4 linked regions of the Arabidopsis thaliana genome follow. The protein of the gene in region 2 interacts with the protein of the main gene of each other region in a pairwise test. Each region holds a gene or a part of one and is shown on either strand. Other genes may lie near its edges. The genes, in order: AT5G62610, STY1, AT5G18037 and AT4G05170.

What was found.
Region 1: the proteins of STY1 (region 2) and AT5G62610 interact in a two-hybrid assay, tested with the Arabidopsis thaliana proteins (one large-scale study listed by BioGRID).
Region 3: the proteins of STY1 (region 2) and AT5G18037 interact in a two-hybrid assay, tested with the Arabidopsis thaliana proteins (one large-scale study listed by BioGRID).
Region 4: the proteins of STY1 (region 2) and AT4G05170 interact in a two-hybrid assay, tested with the Arabidopsis thaliana proteins (one large-scale study listed by BioGRID).

What each region holds. Positions count from the first base shown.
Region 1 is NC_003076.8:25,132,171-25,138,100, forward strand, and holds AT5G62610 (basic helix-loop-helix (bHLH) DNA-binding superfamily protein), read right to left. Parts: upstream 3,896-5,930; 5' UTR 3,829-3,895; intron 2,737-3,828; exon of another isoform or gene 2,711-2,736; 5' UTR 2,431-2,710; coding exon 2,131-2,430; intron 1,816-2,130; coding exon 1,609-1,815; intron 1,527-1,608; coding exon 1,461-1,526; intron 1,380-1,460; coding exon 1,311-1,379; intron 1,240-1,310; coding exon 1,162-1,239; intron 1,073-1,161; coding exon 947-1,072; 3' UTR 678-946; downstream 1-677. Other genes in the region: MOS14 (ARM repeat superfamily protein), read right to left, coding at 181-303; AT5G62620 (Galactosyltransferase family protein), read left to right, coding at 4,966-5,851.
Region 2 is NC_003074.8:18,962,263-18,967,413, reverse strand, and holds STY1 (Lateral root primordium (LRP) protein-like protein), read right to left. Parts: upstream 3,286-5,151; 5' UTR 2,809-3,285; coding exon 2,115-2,808; intron 1,703-2,114; coding exon 1,284-1,702; 3' UTR 1,009-1,283; downstream 1-1,008. UniProt on the Arabidopsis thaliana protein: Transcription activator that binds DNA on 5'-ACTCTAC-3' and promotes auxin homeostasis-regulating gene expression (e.g. YUC genes), as well as genes affecting stamen development, cell expansion and timing of flowering.
Region 3 is NC_003076.8:5,970,372-5,973,965, forward strand, and holds AT5G18037 (NAC (No Apical Meristem) domain transcriptional regulator superfamily protein), read right to left. Parts: upstream 1,196-3,594; 5' UTR 1,158-1,195; coding exon 942-1,157; 3' UTR 730-941; downstream 1-729. Other genes in the region: AT5G18040 (target of trans acting-siR480/255 protein), read left to right, coding at 2,585-2,681, 2,851-3,251, 3,344-3,594.
Region 4 is NC_003075.7:2,666,946-2,671,412, reverse strand, and holds AT4G05170 (basic helix-loop-helix (bHLH) DNA-binding superfamily protein), read left to right. Parts: upstream 1-1,971; 5' UTR 1,972-1,991; coding exon 1,992-2,233; intron 2,234-2,322; coding exon 2,323-2,557; intron 2,558-2,647; coding exon 2,648-2,809; intron 2,810-2,908; coding exon 2,909-2,974; coding exon of another isoform or gene 2,975-2,992; exon of another isoform or gene 2,993-3,061; coding exon 3,062-3,112; coding exon of another isoform or gene 3,113-3,127; exon of another isoform or gene 3,128-3,228; coding exon 3,229-3,423; 3' UTR 3,424-3,615; downstream 3,616-4,467.

The sequences.
Region 1 (5,930 bases), on a different chromosome or scaffold from region 2:
CTTAAAGAGCAAATCACTAATACAAATTGACTAAAGGATGAAACTTTATGCACCTATATGGTCTACAGTAGCTGAAAATCGAACATTAAACTCTAGCACAAGTGCTACAAAACAAGGAAGAACAAATCGAACCTAAACAAATCGAGATTAAATAATTGAAATCGAAAAGAAAAAACTCGCCTGCCAAGCATCGAGAGTTCCTTGGAAGTTCTGAAGCCAGCGATCAGCGTGCACACGCACTGTATCATCCGGGTGATGATACAGTGCGTTTAGGGCTTCTTTGACCGCGTTCTGATGCTCCATAGCTATGAATCTTTACGCGTTATTCGCTCGTACGGTCACCAAATCACGACCAGAGAGAAAGACCCAGATTGAGAAATAGAAGAATTTGCCCAACTGAAATTCGGGATTTTGTCAAATCGATTTCGCCCAACAAAAACAATAAAAATAAAAACTTTTTTTTTCCCTCTTTGTCAAAAAGGTTTTTTTTTGGCGCCCCTCAACTTGAGTGAGGAAGAGAGATAGAGATCGAATTTTGATCTGAAAGAGGATGAAGAAGAGAGAATCTCAGCCGTTAGATACAATTACTTTGACTTAAAGTCAAATCCTTCTTCTTTTATTTTGAAGACAGAAGTTGTTTACTTTTTTTCAGTTGTTGCAATAAATTGAAGACAACAAAAAAAACGTATCATTGATTCATCATAACATAAAGATTATACAAAGGACAAGATTTAAGACCAACATATGTTACTGAATCAATTGTTACAAGTTATATAATAGGACAATACAACAATGTTTTATAAAGTGTTAATCTCTCTGGTCACTCTCATATTCTATCTTATGATATAACAGCAAAATGATACACACGCATAGGATAAAAAATAAAGGGTTGCATTCATTTTTACTGCCTACAAAACACATCCATCAATCAGAGAAAGACTCTTTTTTATGTGGTTCGGTTAAAGTTCCCATCAACCTGCATATGGAGCCACTCCGGTTGAGATACTCGGGTTTCATTAGCTTCTTGTTGCTCGTATATTGTTCGATGAACGTCAATCGGTAAAGTCCCGAGCTGATACAACACACCAAGAGCTTTTAGATTTAGTAGCTTTGATTAAGAAAGATAAGATTTTTCTATGTTCTTTTAGATTTGGGACTTACATCACCGGAAGGAAAAACTCCTATTGTCGGACCAGTACTTGCACCCGAGTTAACAACTTCTAGCTTCATTGATAGAAACTGCAGACCAAACTCCATGCTTAGGCATGTATAATTGTAACATATAACAGAGAGGTGTTAACGACTTTTACCTCAACTTGCCGCTGCAATGACTGAATATAATTGATAATCTCATCGAGCACAAGGGCTTTTCCGATTATCTGATCAACAGAAATATCTTGTTGAATGTTTTTTAGGCTATAATAACATCATTCACAAGCAGGGACCAAAAGAACATGTACCTTATTACATCCTGGAATTATATCTTGAAGAGCTGTCATCTTCTCACTGATCTTTTCTCTTCTAGCCTGTCAAAGACAACATTGTGATTCTAATAAAAGGAACAGTTTTTGAGGATAAAATTTATGGTGATTTTAGCAGAAGAATTACTCGCTCTGCTAAACTATGCCGGTCAGTAGCTTGTCCTCTTCTTGCTCTCACATGAATATAATCCTTTGGTGGCTCAGGTTTGTTCTTCTGTTCCGTTGCTTTGCTTCCACCACCACCCGAACTTGTTTCGCCTTCAGGTCTCATCGAACCATCTCCATTTCCACTTTCAGATCCACACAGTTTTCTTTTCTTATCCCCTGATTCTTTCTATTAAAAAAGTAAACAGATGGAAAGCTTTAAGATCCTAAATCAAACTCTCAATCTAAGATCACTAAGTAAGCATTGACCATTCCAACATCTATCAAACTAATGGTCTTCAAGCTGAATCCAACTTAAGTCAAAAAGTCAATGGAGATAAGTCATCTAATCTATAAACTAATCCTTGATCCCTAAACCAAAGACTTAAACTTTGACTCATTGATTTTTAGATCACCACCAAGCTAAAGGATCTAGATTCAAACATTCAAAAGACCCAACAAATAAAAATCAGGACTTTTCAAAAATTGAAGTGCAAAATCTCACCAATTCATTACCACTGCTGCTGGAAGAAACCATCTTTGAAGAATCATCCTCAGAGTTCAAATCTCTAGTCTTTCTACTTCCCCAGCCAGCAGTTAGATCGGTGACTGTAGATTCCTCAGCCGCGGAGACGTCTTTATTGCCGGAATGTTCAGAGCGAGTAAAGACTCGACCGGAGTTAACAGCTAAACGGAGACCAGAGCGAACGGCGTCGTTTACAGGGAAAGGCCAAATCTCGGAGAGAGTGTAAGAAGAAGGATTAGCTGCAGAGAAGGAGGAATCGTTCACTAGTGGAGGGTCCATTTCCGATGATCGTAAAAAGGGTTGACCCAGATTTAGGACCCGGATCCGAGAAGTGAGGAACTTGATAGAAAAAAAGAAGGAAAAGGTTTGAGCTTTGCGAGGTCTTGTCTTGTTTATAGGGTTGTGTGTGAGGTGGACAAATAGAGAGAGAGATCGGAGAAGGTAAGACAGATGTGGGTAGTGATAATGCGCCACTAGTATGCAATGGAAGATGATTTATCACCAATACTTTCAGAAAATCTCATTAATTACACAGCTTACATCAAATATTTTGCCGTTTCTGTTATAAAAAAAATATTACAATGGTAAAATTTTCGTTTCGTTTAGAAACAAAATTGAATAGAAAAGATATATTATGGCGCAATAACCTAAATAATTTCTATCAAAAATAAAAAATAAAAATCTCACAATTATGTCTTTTAGTTATCCTTTGATTAAATTATTTTTTACTGTGAACAACTTTGGTAATTTTACTGTGAACAACTTAAATACACCAAAGGACAATGCATCTCTCTTAGAAAAAAATACATACTAGCAAAACCAAATCATGTTACTTTGGTAATTTCATTCTGACGTGTTTAAGGAAAAAACGTATATGTTTGGATTAAAAATTTGATCTTCGTACCATATGTCCATCCTAGTAAGTACTCGATCGCCTATGTTTACAATAATATTCACCAATTAGTGTTTTTTTATTTAACATAGATCTCCCACTTCATAGTCATATGTTTTATGAAAGTTAGTTGTGTAAAGTGAAGGGAACCACACACCGGTACGTAGGATACGATCGAGGATGTGACAATGGGCCATATATTTAAATTTTAAATGCTTAATCACAAAAGCCAAAATTCTAGCTAAATATATAAAACGCTAATATGAAGGATAGATGACATGTGTTTTAGTCTTTTTGTTTGCATGTCAACGTTCTTCACGTTAAATTTTTAAAAATTCAGAAGCTATAGTTTTATTATGTTCAATGTAGTTTTAGCCTTTTTGGTAGATGACATGTTCAAGGTAGTTGCGGAAAAATACAAGGAGCCAAGAGTGTCATTTTTCGTTTCGATGATTTCAACCTTCATTTGTTGTGTTTATTATAAAAGTTTGTATTTTTGAATGATGAATACAGAGATATCAAACGTTTTTAAGAATACAGTATATAACAAACAAAAAAGCTCTAAAACTATTCACTGAGTTAAAACTTTTAAAAGTCAATTCTATAGCATTGAATGCTCTAAATGTGTAGCAAGAAAATTGTTTAAAGACCAACAAATTAGAAATTGATGTTTTTCTGCAAAACTTTTTTAATTATTAATTTTATTATCGAATTAAGTGGAATATGTTTATATTTTGATGAAATAATGAAAAGGTGGAAAAGACAAGTGTAGAAAGAGAAGACACCTGGATGCAAAGGTGTCACACATGAAGCCCAATTCCTCTCTTTCCATTTTTCCCATAAAGCTTTTTTGCTCTACTCATCAAGATACCTCTAATAAAAAAACAAGAAACACTATTTTTTTGTTATCAATTTCTTCTGTTCATTTCAGTTTGGTCATGAAATTAAGAAAATTAATAGAGAGAAAAGTCAAAAATAAAAACATGAGCATAGGAGTACTATGTGACTTCATTGGTGATGGAATGACACAGTTGGCCGATTTAGCACCGACTAAGTAGACATTAATCAATAATAGTTTAAATTTCAAAATAAGAATCATATCTACTAAACAATCAAATACATATGATTCCATCTACTATTATTGTTTTTTTTTAATTTATAAATCATATAGTACTAATTAACTAATAATTTCACATTCTGTCTCGTGTAATCAAGACAACCTTTTCGATTTGTTTTTTTGGTCGATTTGCTTAACCTTAAAAATCTTATTACTTCAATTATAAGATTAAAATTCGACAAAAACATAACGTTTTTCCTTTTTATTCTACTGGTGGTGGAAATAATCATCTAGAATAATAAAATTACTTTAATTTGAAAAGATAAATCCAACGAATCTATAACTTTAATCGAAAACTAAATAAAATAAGGAAAAAGAGAAGATTTAAAAGCGAAGAAAAGATTCGAAAAAGAGAGAGAGAGAGATGGACCAAAACGGCGGTTTATTCAGACGTCAGCAGCACTAACTAAGAAAGAGGAGAGAGCTTTAACTCTTCCCCTTGCTGCTTCCTTCTCCAAATTCTCCTGACGCGTTTCTGTTCATCTTACGATTTTACACGTCTCTCTAAAGATTTAAATTTTCGACTTTACGTTTCTTTCGGGTTTTGAATTTTCTCACTAAAGATTTGTCTTTTCCATAGAAAGTTCTTGAATTTTCTCTCTTCGTGTTCAAAGGGTTTTTCAGAATTTATAGTAACCCACCAATCTACTGATTGTCTCCGTTCATCGTAATCTCTCAAGATTTGATTTTTATTTGTTTTTTGAAATTTTGAATTTTGAGATTCTGTTCCTCTTTGATCATCATCACTAGGGTTTTCTGTTTCCAGTTAAAAAAAAGTTTGGATTTTTCTTCGTATAATTTAGGAATGAGGAAGCCCAAGTTGTCAAAACTCGAGAGGTTAGAGAAATTCGACATTTTCGTTTCTCTAAGCAAGCAGAGATCGGTTCAGATACTAATGGCGGTTGGGTTACTCTACATGCTTCTTATCACATTCGAAATCCCTTTCGTCTTCAAAACCGGGCTTAGTTCTTTATCTCAGGATCCGTTAACCCGACCCGAGAAGCACAATAGTCAGAGAGAGTTACAAGAGAGACGAGCTCCGACTCGACCTTTAAAGAGTCTGCTTTACCAGGAATCACAATCGGAATCACCGGCTCAGGGTTTAAGAAGAAGGACTCGGATCCTTTCTAGTTTGAGATTCGACCCGGAAACGTTTAACCCGAGTAGCAAAGATGGGTCTGTGGAGCTTCATAAATCTGCTAAGGTAGCTTGGGAAGTTGGTCGAAAGATATGGGAAGAGCTTGAGTCTGGGAAAACGTTGAAAGCTTTGGAGAAGGAGAAGAAGAAGAAGATTGAGGAACATGGGACAAACTCGTGTTCTCTCTCTGTTTCCTTAACCGGGTCTGATCTTTTGAAACGTGGGAATATCATGGAGCTTCCATGTGGTTTAACTCTTGGGTCACATATTACAGTGGTTGGGAAGCCACGAGCTGCTCATTCGGAGAAGGACCCTAAGATATCGATGTTAAAGGAAGGAGATGAAGCTGTGAAGGTTTCACAGTTTAAGTTGGAGCTTCAGGGTTTGAAAGCAGTGGAAGGAGAAGAGCCACCTCGGATACTCCACTTGAATCCAAGGCTTAAGGGTGATTGGAGTGGTAAGCCTGTGATTGAGCAGAACACTTGCTATAGAATGCAATGGGGCTCAGCACAAAGATGTGAAGGATGGAGATCTAGGGATGATGAAGAGACTGGTTAGTGTAGATATGTTCAAAAGCATTTATCTTTCATCTGTTGTTTTTCTTGGTGTTTTTGTTGGGGATACTAATTAGT
Region 2 (5,151 bases):
TATGAGAATCTGCAAAATCTCTATCTATTAATATATATGTGTGTGTATATCATCGTGTAGGGTGTAAAAATACATCTCATGCAAGGATGCCTTATATATACGTAAGCTTACATGAAAGGTAAACTCCTTATGATCATTAATTTTCTTCGACCATGTTACCTTACAAGTTATGATTGATTTAGTTATACAAATAAAAATAATATCGCGTCCATTTGAAATTAGACATGGTTTTGACACTGATCATGCATATAAGAAAAGTTTAATATCCTATTGTATTCTTACAAAGGATGTTAACTTTTAAATTATATTTTATATTAAATTTCTATTTAAGTAATTTTAAAGAGACAATGAGATCATTTCTTGACAAACGTTACATTTAAATCATTAAAAACCCTTTTTAAAACAGAAACATTCCCTCAAGATCATGAAAAGACTTATTTTAAAATAGAGAAAGATTAGTAGTATTGTTCAAGACTTCTAGTCAATGTGAAAGAATAGAAAAATCAAAAACCTGATAGTAGAAATTAACTAAATCATTATAGTAAACTAGTAATGAAAGAACTAATGGTGTGGGCAACGGCGGGAGAAGTAACTAATTGGGATTAACGTACATTGTAGAACGCACCCTCATGTCACATCTATACATGTCGCTCTTCTAGTCATCTTCTCTGATTCTATCACATGTCAATTATGGCATACATCAATTACTAGTAACTAACAAATAATACACTTTAGAAACCATTAAATGCATGGGATGGGCAGACCATATTCTGTCGTAACGGAAACCATGGTTGAAAAAAATAAAAAATAAAATGGGTTGAAAAATATGAAATTGTACTATAATGTATGGTACAAATGTAATGAATTCTTCTTTATATTGAATAGAAGAAAGAAGACACAAAAGGTGTTATATAAAGATGAAAAACATTTTCCCCGGATTCTAAGGTTACGTGTTTCACAAACAAGAAACAGACACATTAATGAAACAAAGATTCAGACAACAAGAGCTATATTGTGCTCCTAACATTTAAATGATACACAACACTATATCCTCACAAAACCATATAAAAAGACAATGGTATTATTTGAATTGAATTTCCATTTAAAAACCCCTAAAACTTGCAACAACTTTGAGTGTCTAAAAGTAGGGGAAGCATAAACAGATTCACTTCCCCACTTCTGCATACTCTTTTATATAATATGATCCGACAATTAACGTTTATAAACCCTAATTCTATTCTAAGAATTCAAAAGAGTTATGTTGCTTTTATGTCAGATTTTCCTCATGATCTTGGGTTGGGAAAGAATTGTGTACCGGCCATGAATGTATTGATCGGAGTTGGATAAAGAGCGGCTGGATCAATGTACGTGGCTGCCGCGGCTGATGAGCTGCCAATACCACCGAGGTTTGGAGTAGAGGAAGAAGCGGTAGCAACGGTTACAGAGCCAGCTGTTATGAGATTCAGCTGTTGAGCTCCACCACCACCAGAGGAGCTCTCACCGGCGGCAACAACGTTGTAGCCTCCGCCACCACTACTTCCAGGACCGAGGTCGTATAAAATGCCTTTGAAAATGTGACCACCAATGCTTACAGCTGTTTGGTAAGCAAACTCTTCTTCTCCATCTTCTACTGAGCTCACACGCACGCACCTAAACACCGCCGATGAACTCACCTCCGCCGGGAAATTGCCAACTTCTAGCCCTAGAATTTAGAGTAAGAAAAAAAAGTTTAAGAGATACGTAATAGAATAAAACATTGATATTCATTTTTTCTTTCAAAATTAAGGTTATGAAAAAGGAGCTGAGAATTAGAGAAAGAACACAGATTTCAAGATTTGTGAGAACAGCTTGTTCCTGTCATTCCAATAGTCAGTGTTTACTCCAACACAGTATTTTCACAATTAAATCACAAAATAAAAAACAAAACTTATTTTGGAAAACTTATAAATCAAAATAGGGTTTTTCTTTTTTTACTCTAGAAGCTGATCCCAATTCGTTACTTATATAAATTATAAAAAATGCTGCTTGCATTTCATTATCTCACGACCATATAATAATAAACATATATATTTATATACACATAAATAAATATTTCACATTACAGTGACATATACCTGAATGAGAAGGTATGCGAGTGCAGACAAGAGACGATGAAGTTGCCGGTAAATTTTCACGGTGGCGTTTAGGAACGCTCTCACCGCGAGGCAGCTGAGTTTGAGGCTGGACCGTAGCTAATTGCTGTTGTCTCTCACGGCGTTTAGCAGCAGGGACCCACGTGCTTCTCACGTGAGTAGAACACTCGAAGCCACGGCTTTTACAACAAGTTCTACACCTCATGTGAGAACAATCTTTCTTCGCTTGATTCCCACAGTCTTGACAGCTCACACCACCACTTCCTCCTCCGCTACCACCACTACGAATCATCATCATCGCCGCAGCTCTTCCGGCGCCGGCGGTTGAAGTTTCGCCGGAGATATCGAATTGGTTATGATTACTTGGTCCAACACCTAAACCTGCGGCGGAAGAGTAAAGATCCAACCTTTGCTGATGTTGCTGATGCTGAAACATGATCTCTTGCTGATTGTGGTTTTGCCATAACTCAAGTGTTCCTAAAGCAGCGTTTGACGAAGAAGGAGCGTTTGCGTTAACGTTTGTGTTTGCGTTTGCGTTAACGTTAGGGTTTCTATACCAGAGCCAAGCTTCTGATACAGGCGGAGGAGGATTTGTGTTGCTCCGGTGATCTTCTTGGTTGTTACCTCCACCTCCGCCTCCTCCTCCACCACCGTCTAGCGAGAAAAACCCCGCCATTCACCAAGACAACAACCACCACCCATAACCACCACTCACCCACTAACCAATCAAGAAAATGGAACAAAACCCAAAACCAAAGATCCTATGTTTTGTAGTTCTATACACTCTAACTTTCTCACTCTAGATCTTAGAGGATTTCTAGGGTTTTTAGGTTGAATTCATTCTCTGGGTTTGTAGTGTATTGAAGTTGGAATAGCTTTTTGAGACTCTGATGAAAAAGCAAAACTTGTTTGTCGGTACGAGAGAGAGAGTATTTAAGAAACACACAGAGATATGTAAGAAGGAAGAAGAAGAAGAGAGATTTAAATCATCTTTCTTGCGCTCTGCAACGCCGCCATGACCTTATTAATCTCTATATCTCTCTCTCTCTCTCTTCTGCTCCTCTAATTTAATTCTCTGTCTCCTCTCATCTCTTCTTCATTTGTTTGTTTCTTTGTTTTGTTTTTCCAGATTTTGCAAAAATATAATTTTGTTTCTCTCATGTTTTGTTGTTACAAAATGAAAACAATTCATCTCTTATCGTTGATATATAATCGGGCGGTTATTATGCTGCCACGTTAGCATAAAATGGATTTTTCTCTCTTGGTCCTTTTCATTCCGGGAAACCCGCTTTTTTTCTTTCTTCTTTTTTTCTTACATATATGAAATTTTTATATGTATAAATGGTGGAATGTGAATAACTAATTTTCCTTAAAAAGGAGTAAAAATAATATCATTACGGTATCAGAATACTATTTTTGATTATCCTAAGATAGTTCTATATATATTTCGGGACCTATTAATTAGACCTCCTAATCATGATCTAGAACTGACTACAAAACCTTGTCAAAAGTCCATAGGTCCATTCATTTTTATTTCATTTTGTGTATATATGAGTGACTATGAGACTAATTGTGACAAATGCTGCAAATATATTATTGTCTACGAGTTAGGAGCATCAGCAAACTAAAAATGCCTGAAAAAATGTAAGGTACTTCAAGGTTTCAAAAATCCTCATCAAATAGATAAACATGTGGATTAAATAATCTAACTACTTACTTTAAAGTAAGGAGGATTTGCAAATTATAGGCATTAATCATCCATTAGCCCATAATCTTCTTTTAAAAAATATTAATTTGGGTGCACCTGTGGCTTAAATTAAGTGTTTAAAGTTTGTAGCTGAAAAGCAGATGCTTTTGTCCATGTTTCCGAGGAAACGAAAAACATTATGATATACACATTTCTGTATATACTAGTAGTATATCACAGTAATATTTTATATATAAATAAAAATGCACGTAAACATACTCTCTCTTGTAGAGAGACAAACGTACGATTTTGTTGAGGTGCCCTATGTTACTGCATTATCTTTTTGTATAATAGTACTACTAAATGTTTACAGAATTTATATACAGACAAACACACCTCTATGCCCGTGCCGTGAGCATCATGGATCCTAATTTAACTAATCATTATAATTAGCTGAGTATTTTTTTAGGTATTATCCTTTGAATTGCCTGAGAATAACGGCACGAAAAAATATGTCCCGATAAATCCGAAATCTAGAGAAGTATGTATGGGTGTCATATAAATAAAAAAGTTAGGACATGAAATAAAAATAAAGTAAAAGATGGGGACGTTTAAAAGGATTTTGCCAAAAGAGTAGAGAGAGTTGACTAATGTAGAAGGGGTTAAATGAGACATTTCAAAAGTATTAAGATTCAAAATGGGAATAATGAATAGTTTGAGACAGGGTAAAAGCATTGCCTCGCCGCCCTACGCTTCCGTACCGGTTCTTGATTTAATTTACAAATCCAATAATTTAAGTTAATAATCGAATGATTATTATTGCTCTCAATTTGAAAACAATAGTTAGGTTGTTCATTATATATCGATATAGTTTTAGAGGTAAGTAAAAAACCACAAAATATTCGAGTATACTAGATTAATAGAGGGAATCAATTAATTCAAGGGGTTGTGATGGATACATTACAATCGAGACAATGACCTTTTTTCTCTTTTGACAAAAAAAAAAAAAAGACCTTTTTTCTCCAGTAGTCTATTCTTTATTTGCTACATTACAAAAATATATAAATGTCAAATAAGTATAAGCATCATTTCGGAATAATAGTTTCAGGCAGAACCAACCAGCAACCAACACACAAAATTTATAACGGAGTTTCACAAAAAAAAACTTTTAATTTGTATGGAATTTGAATAAGAGATGGATGGAACTGAGAAGCCTATGAATCTGGAGTAGATTTGGACTATGACGAAACTTAGGATGTTATCGAAACAACACTTATACTAAACAATTTCTCTTTTCAAAATCTGTTCTACATGTCAACGTTGCACGTATGC
Region 3 (3,594 bases), on a different chromosome or scaffold from region 2:
AACTTTACAAGGTTTTTTAAAGAGTTTTTAAAAAATTTACAAGGTTTTTTAAAAGCATTTTTTGGCTGGGAAAAAAATTTTACGAGAAAAATTTTTGGCGGAAAAGTTTTTTTTTGGCGGGAAAAAAAGTTTGCCGGAATTTTTTTTTTTGGCGGGAAATTGAAAGTTTCCAAGTACTTGTTATTATTAAATGAGGGTAATTTGGTCATTCTGTTCAAGAAAAAAGATATTTTTAAAAATAAATAATATAAAAGAGTATTATGGCAAAAAGGTAGTCAAAAAATATAGTTTTGCAAATCTCCCATTAATTTAACCAATTTCTTATCCATTTCGTAGGCCAAAGTTTCTCTTTTTCCTTCATAGGCATGGATGGGCCTGATCATTATTAATATCTCATATATTAGATGAGATAATCTCTTTGATCCTCAAAACAAGAAAATATTTTTTCGTTTGTGAAAACAAGAAGGTGAGCAGTTACAAACTCCTCATAAAAATAATGATCTACATGTCTTTAAATAAACAAGAATATACGAGATTTTCCTAAAGTTTTTATGAGGAATTTAAATAAATTATGCAAAGGGAAATATCAAACTAGACACAAAATTGAAGTAAAATAAGATAGAAGTAGAAGTTATTATCCTCTTCACTGAAAATTTACCAAGACACATAATCATGGTCCTTTAAGGTGGCAGAGAACTTGAACATGGAATAATGAGCCACCGTTTTCGAGATAGTATTCTGTCATGGTCCAACCACTGGCTTGTCTCTCACCTTTGACGTAGAAACTTAGACTTCTTCCCAATCACTGCACCGGTATCTTCCAACACGACATCACTCAACTTCCCATGGCCTTTCCAACATCCATCAACCGTCTCTCCTTTGACTTTGCGGCTGATGCGTTTTCCAGTAACGTTTTCAGAGAGATGATTCACTTTCACGAACTAGAACCATTCATTAGGTTCCAAAAAGTTAGTCTCGGTGTGAGACAACCGCCACGGCTCTTTGGCATAGATGTCAAACTTGTCTTCTAATTCAAATTCTTTATTTGATCTTTTGGTAACCTTAGGCCCGATATAACGGATGATGAGTTCTTGGGCAGAAGGATGAAACCAAAACCCAACATGTTCCTCTTTATCGTAGTACTTAACCATCGACATATTCTTTTCTTGTTCTATGAGACAAAGAAAACGCAAATCAGACAAAAAGTTAAGGATCTATATATTATAGCAATAATCCAAGGGGAACAACAAATGATCTTTAGAGCAAAACTGAAAAACAATAATAAACGCGTTGAAGACTTGAAACTTTCAGGTAGACAAATAGAAAAGGTGATTTCGTATATATATGTGGATTTTAAGGATTTTTAATATATTAGGAAAACGATTCTTTAAAAAGGAAATATATCCATGTAATTCAAAGCCAATATTCTTAAAATTAGATAAGTAAGCCAATATCACATTTTTTCTTTTCAAATTTGTAATGTTGGTTTTAGCGTATGATATTTTGTCTACTATTTTCTTTTTAAACTTATTTTGTCTTATATCTTTTTACAAACTAAAAAACAAGATTATTCTTTTACTTATCTAAATAATGTTCAAAGACTGGAAGATTTCTTGCTCTTCTGATATGGAGAGATACTTGTATTAGTACTTGAAGAAGCTTATGCCTCAAATATTTTCTTGCTCTCCAAAAAATGCATTGACATGATCGTGATCGGTTGCACAAAAAATGGTATCCACTCTCTAAACTTTTAGAACAAGTACTCTTTCAAGAAGAAAGAGAAAAAATCTATTTACAACGAATAAGTCGATGTCTAACTCGGAAAAACAAAATGTTGGATCATCATCATTGGAGCCTAAAAGAAAATTGTTGTTAAACTATAATTGTTGCCCTTAAATAAACAGGCAAAAACGATGTTGTTAAAAAGACTTTTAAAAACATTGGCAATGTCATAAAAACGGCAACGTTTTAAGGAAAGTTTCAAACGTCGTCGTCTTGAGGACTAAAGTTGAAGTCTTAAAAAGGCGACACGTTTCGGGACAAAGCTGAGGGGAAATCTTCGCGACGACTGTGAGAGTTTGTTTCGCGAACATTCTCTGAGTTTCTCTCGACGCGACGGCGATTGCGAATGTCTTCTCCTTCTGATTCTCGTCTCTCTGTGTCTCCGGTAATTTCTCTCAATTTTCTCTCTCTGTTGGATTCTTTTAGCTTGTTTTGGATTTGTTACCGATTCTACTCCGTGACTTGGCCTTTCTCAGTGCTATTAGTGAACAGAGATAAACTTTAGGGTTTGAACTTTTTTTTTTGGATGAATGATTTGAATCCTTTTTAACGTTAGAGTTGTTCTTTGTTAATGGAAGCTATCATTGTTACTTTGGTTTACTCTAAAGCTTCTTGTTCGACGATTTTTCCTCTGCAACTAGAAATGGTTGTGTTTATGTCAAAACTTGAAACCATGTTTATGGTTTTCGCTAGTTAGGTCTTGTTTTTGTTTTTCCTTTTGCCTTATCTGCTTGACTCTACTGGATTTCTGAATGTGTTCTTCTGCTGGATTCTACTTGAAACCAGGGATAAGTAATCGAAGATGAATATGATTCAGCGATTCATGCAATCTATGGCAAAGACGCGTGGCCTCTGTCATCCAGATTGCGTAAAAGCAAGTAGTGAGCAAGAAGATTACGGTAAATGAATCAAATCTTGTTCTAGAGAACATTACTTTATTCGCATCGTTAAGAGATACTGTGATTGATTTTAGCTGATAGTAGTTTACTCCCTTTTTAATATAGTCTAATCCTTTGAAAGAGTCATATGAATTGACTACAACATTTTCATTTTTTTTTTGTCTTGCAGATGCGTCTCAGCTCAGTATTTGGTGGATAATGCTGGGAAGGAAGACGACCAGGGAGAAATGGATGAACCAAGCTCTCAGTTCACTATCGAAAACTTGCATCAGTATATGGTGGAAAATGTCTGGAATAAGAGGTAAGATGTGCAGGGAGAGGGAGCAACCACTCACTGTCAAAGACTGCCTTGAATGTGCTTTCAAGAAAGGGCTACCGAGAAGAGAACATTGGGCACATGTGGGATGTACATTCAAGGCTCCCCCATTTGCTTGTCACATACCCCGCGTGCCCATGAAAGGAGAAGTGATTGAGACTAAGAGTTTGGATGAAGCGTTTAAGCTGTTGATTAAACAACCGGTGGGTGCAAGACTCCATGTGTTCAGTCCAGACCTTGATAATGTTGGAGAGGTAAAGTGTTGTGAGATAAATTTCGAAATTTTCAAAGATCAATGACAAAGTTTTGATCTAATCTTATTCAACCTTTTTTTTTTGTGTGGTAGGGAGTTTACGAGGGCCTGTCTAGCCTGTCTCGTAAGGAATCACGCTATGTTGGACTTAGGGATGTCATCATAGTTGCAGTGAATAAGTCCGAGGGAAAAACTGTTGCTACTGTGAAGATATGTTACAAGAAGAAGACTTCATTTGTCAAAGTGTGTTTGAGCCGTATGTTTGTCCAGCTTGGTGGTGGCGAGGAGTCTCAGGTGAAAGAGCCAACAGGTCTGCTTGTTGACTTCTGTATCCCACGCTTATC
Region 4 (4,467 bases), on a different chromosome or scaffold from region 2:
TATTACGTACACACTACTGATTATCCTTTACATACATACATACATCATATACATACATCAAATGTATAAATTAATCATACTATAGTGAACAATATATTTTAACATAGATCGTGAAGATAATAAAAAATATACGTGTGATTAGGTCAAAGGCCGAGGACACTTAAACCATTAACACTTTTATAAGTTTTTATTCTTCTTCTTGTTAATCGCTTCACTTTTTCTAAGTGTTCTTCCCACTCCACGCGCGAGATAATCTAAACTTTAGATTTTAATTAGGTATAATGATATAACAAATTTCATGATATGACAAGGAGGAGGTTAGACCATGGTCGTTTAATTGTCATGTCCTATAAGTCAACAAAGAAGTTTTTGTATGTGCTTAAGGTTTAAACGTCATATGGTTGACCGAAACTTTAATTAGCTTTTAAAGATTCTATCAAACGGAAGTCACATCCAAATTTACTTTGATCTCTATAAATTAAAGAACACTTACCAGTTACCAAACCTAAAATACACTATATTTCTAAATCTAATCAAATCTTAAACTCTACAACTACAGTTTGATGACATGATTTAAAAAAATTATGATGAGATCGATAGTACTATATGGACTTTTTCAAACTAAACTAAGTCTTACTTTAACAGGAAAAACTTATAATTAAGTAGTTAGACATGTTTAGTTTAGGGATTATGTATCCCTCGAAGCCAAATTGACTTAGACCGCAAAGCTGATTATTTTATAAAAAGAAAGGAAAAAAGTAGATATACATATAATAATCATATAATATGAGATTAGATAGGTTAACCAAATATTTCAATTAACTAATAGTGGAATTGTGGTTAAGGAGTCAAATCAGATGACATGAGCATATATTGTATGTATATTAAAAGAAGATTTGGGAACATTTCCAAAGTAAAAATGAAGACAACCCCTAAAACCCAAGAGAATTCGATTGGGTGGTATGACTTAATCCACACAAAACGTATTTACCTATTACTAATTGTACTTATATGTCAACAGTTGACTTATTGTTATTTATTTATTCATGTGAATTTCCTCTTATTCATTTATTTCGAATCACCTTTTATGTCCTTTTTGTTATATTTTTTTTTTTGCAACATTTATTATTAACACCAGACCAAACCGTTTCAGATTTTTTTTTCTTTTTTGATAAACTCTATCGGCTGATCCGCTCAGTCCCGGTAAACACGCACTAAAATACTTCAGAGTGGACTTCTCTCCAAAAAACTACCACACTGTTTCAAAATTCCTTGCAAGATTTTGTCAAATAATATTTTTTTTTTTTAAATCGAAATCGGTATTTCTGTAGTCTAATGTTATTAATTTGTGCACATTTTTAAACGTAAAATTAGAAGAAAACCAAATAAATAGAGATTACCTAACCATTTTAAAAAGAAAACCTTTCACCAAAATCCAAATATCCTTTTTGCTTTATCTAATTCCTTCAAACATGAATATTTTCAAATCATTCCAAAAAAGTAGATATTCGTGTTTTTATTAAACAATAAAACTTGTTCAACGTGGACATTTAGTTTAGCCTATCAAGAGCAAATATATAATTCTGATTTACGAAAGAGATATTTGCATTGTGTTACAATATTCTTACCTTTTAAATCAATTCAGAATTTTTTTTTTCTTTAATTTTGTCAAACATGTTTTACAAAAGCATATTAACGTAAAATACTTTTTGATTATTTTTTATTTTATTTATATCCTGTCAACTTCCTGTTCCTGTATTTAGTATTTGCAAATGATTTTTAATAAATAGATTACTCTATAATTTAACGTAAACACGAACACAAGAGTGTGTCCAATGAGATGCGTTATTTTCATAATCATCAATAGGTATAGAGACGTATTATGGTTAAGAGGGTAGCTAGATATATTATTTAGTAATTGTAGTTTTCCGTTTAAATTATAATTTTGATGGACTCATGCCTACATATAAATACACTATGTAATAAACATCATGTCTCATGCAACTTCGACATTAAATTCCAAAGTAAACTACACAATTAAGAACATGACGGAAGAGTTTGAGATCGCAGGAATCTCCACCGGAGCTTGGTGGAGCTCGCCAACAAACACCGCCGCAGTATTCTCTGGCTACTCGCTGCCATGTTCCACTGAGATTAGCCCTGATGTCACAAATTTCGGATGGCAAAACTTCGATAACAAGATTAACGATCATAATGATGGTTGTATGAACATGTAAGTCCACATGCATACATACATTAACATACAAAGTAATAATATTGAACTTTCTTAAATTTATATTCTTTCTTTTATATTTCTTGTAGGCATAATAGTTTCTTCGAAGGACTATTAATCGATCCTAACGATCAATTACTACCGGATCCATGGTCCAAAAGTACAATTCCTAACGCTAAATCTGAGCTCCTTGAAAACTTCCCATTCTTAGATAACATGTTCTTGGTCGATTCAGAAGCTGAATCTTTGTTGGATCATGAAATCAGAAACCATAAGTCGTCTAAGGAGCAAATTACACAAGACTACAAGAATCTTACTTCAAAGGCACGTAACAAACATAAAAACCTAACTATTTTTGTTGTGACTAATACTTAGAGGTAATTAACATTACAAAAGATGTGATGATTCTTTCAGAGGAGTGAAGAATTAGAAGAGAACAGCGATGAGTATTCACCGCGATTACTAAAAAGACCGAGACTCGAGACACTATCTCCATTGCCAAGCTTCAAAGTTCGTAAAGAAAAACTCGGAGATAGAATCACTGCGCTTCAGCAACTGGTTTCTCCATTTGGCAAGGTAAATTAAAACAACATTACTCTAAGTATTTTACGCATGTTTAATCTTTGATTTCTTCTTATTTAAGCTCAAAAGATTTGTCTTCTAAACTCTTTGCAGACAGATACAGCTTCTGTTCTCAACGAAGCTGTAGAGTACATAAAGTTTCTTCAAGAACAAGTCACTGTAAGTTCAGATTCTTGATTTTTCATTTGCAGTCAAAATCAAATCAATTAATTAACAATTCGTTTGATTCTTTAATTTAAAAATTAGGTATTGAGTAATCCAGAACAGAACACCATAGGATCTGTTCAACAACAGCAGGTACTTAAAAATTAGTTATATGTTATAACAACTCTCTTTTCTTGTCCTTTTGCTTGTGACATCAAGAATCTTTTCAAAACTAATCATCACCAATTAATGATTCGTATAATTAATAGTGTTCAAACAAGAAATCTATCAATACTCAAGGAGAAGTAGAAGAAGACGAATGTAGTCCAAGAAGATATGTAGATCTTTCGAGCCGTGGACTATGTCTAATGCCGATCTCAGCTTCATATCCCGTGGCTGCAGCTGCGGCTTCGGCTGCAGAGATGAACGTACATCTGGTTTCTGGCATCTTCCATTCTTTGTAAACTTATAAACTAAATACGTAGATACATAAACAAACAAAGTAATCTTCCGCAAACAGGGGATCTTGTAAAGTTTTATGTCCCTTTTTAATTTATACAGAAATGTAAATGTCCTGTAATACTTCAAAATCATATATTGTTTGTTTGCGTACGTTTACTATTTTTCTCTAAATGAACCTACTATTTGAAGCAAAATAAATTTGTTAATTATAAACGTAAATGTCAAACTAAACCGAAGGTTTTGCATTTGGATTATAAAATACAATATAAAAACCTGCAAATAATTTTTTTTTTTTTTTTTGAATAAACCTGAAGTTTAGTGTATGTTGCACAACGGTTTAAATTGAGGCCAACCAGAAAATGTTTAATTCCTTTGTAAATGAAAATTTCTCATCTAAATACGAATTAGATAATCGTATTGCCGGCCTTAAAAATATGTGGATTCCAAAGTAAATGTATATATAACCCATTAGTTTAACTAGAAAAAGGTTTTATATAATTAGCCTCTTTTCGATCTCTTATTGCTTTTTTTTTCCTTCTTTTTGTATTAGATTTCTTTCTCGAAGTTTTAACACTCGAGCAGACCATTTAGCAAAAAAAGCTAAGAGTAGAAATGTTTTTTTTCTCATGTAAGCACGTCGGTTCCCGAATGACTCTTCCTAGCGGATAATTTTTTTCTAATAACTTAATAAAAATAGTATTTGACTGGAAAAGAGGGGCATCTCAAACCTTCCACCTACAAACCCTTTACCAACCTTTCTAAACAATATTAGCGGCCCTTAGATGATGAAAGAATTTGAGGTTCCAAGCTCAACTTTTCCAGCTTGAACTCAGAGCCAACCCTGCATGAACATTACGTGTAAACCAATTGATGAGTCCCAAATAATTGACTTTTTCAGTTGGAAGATTCTTAGCAAACTGCAAAGTAATGTTGTGTACTTTATTATTTTAGCTTGTATGATCAAGAGATTTGGAAATAGGAGAAGGTGAGGTTTAACAAGAAACACTTTATACCAAAAATAGCTACTTTGTGTCCATTGGTACAAC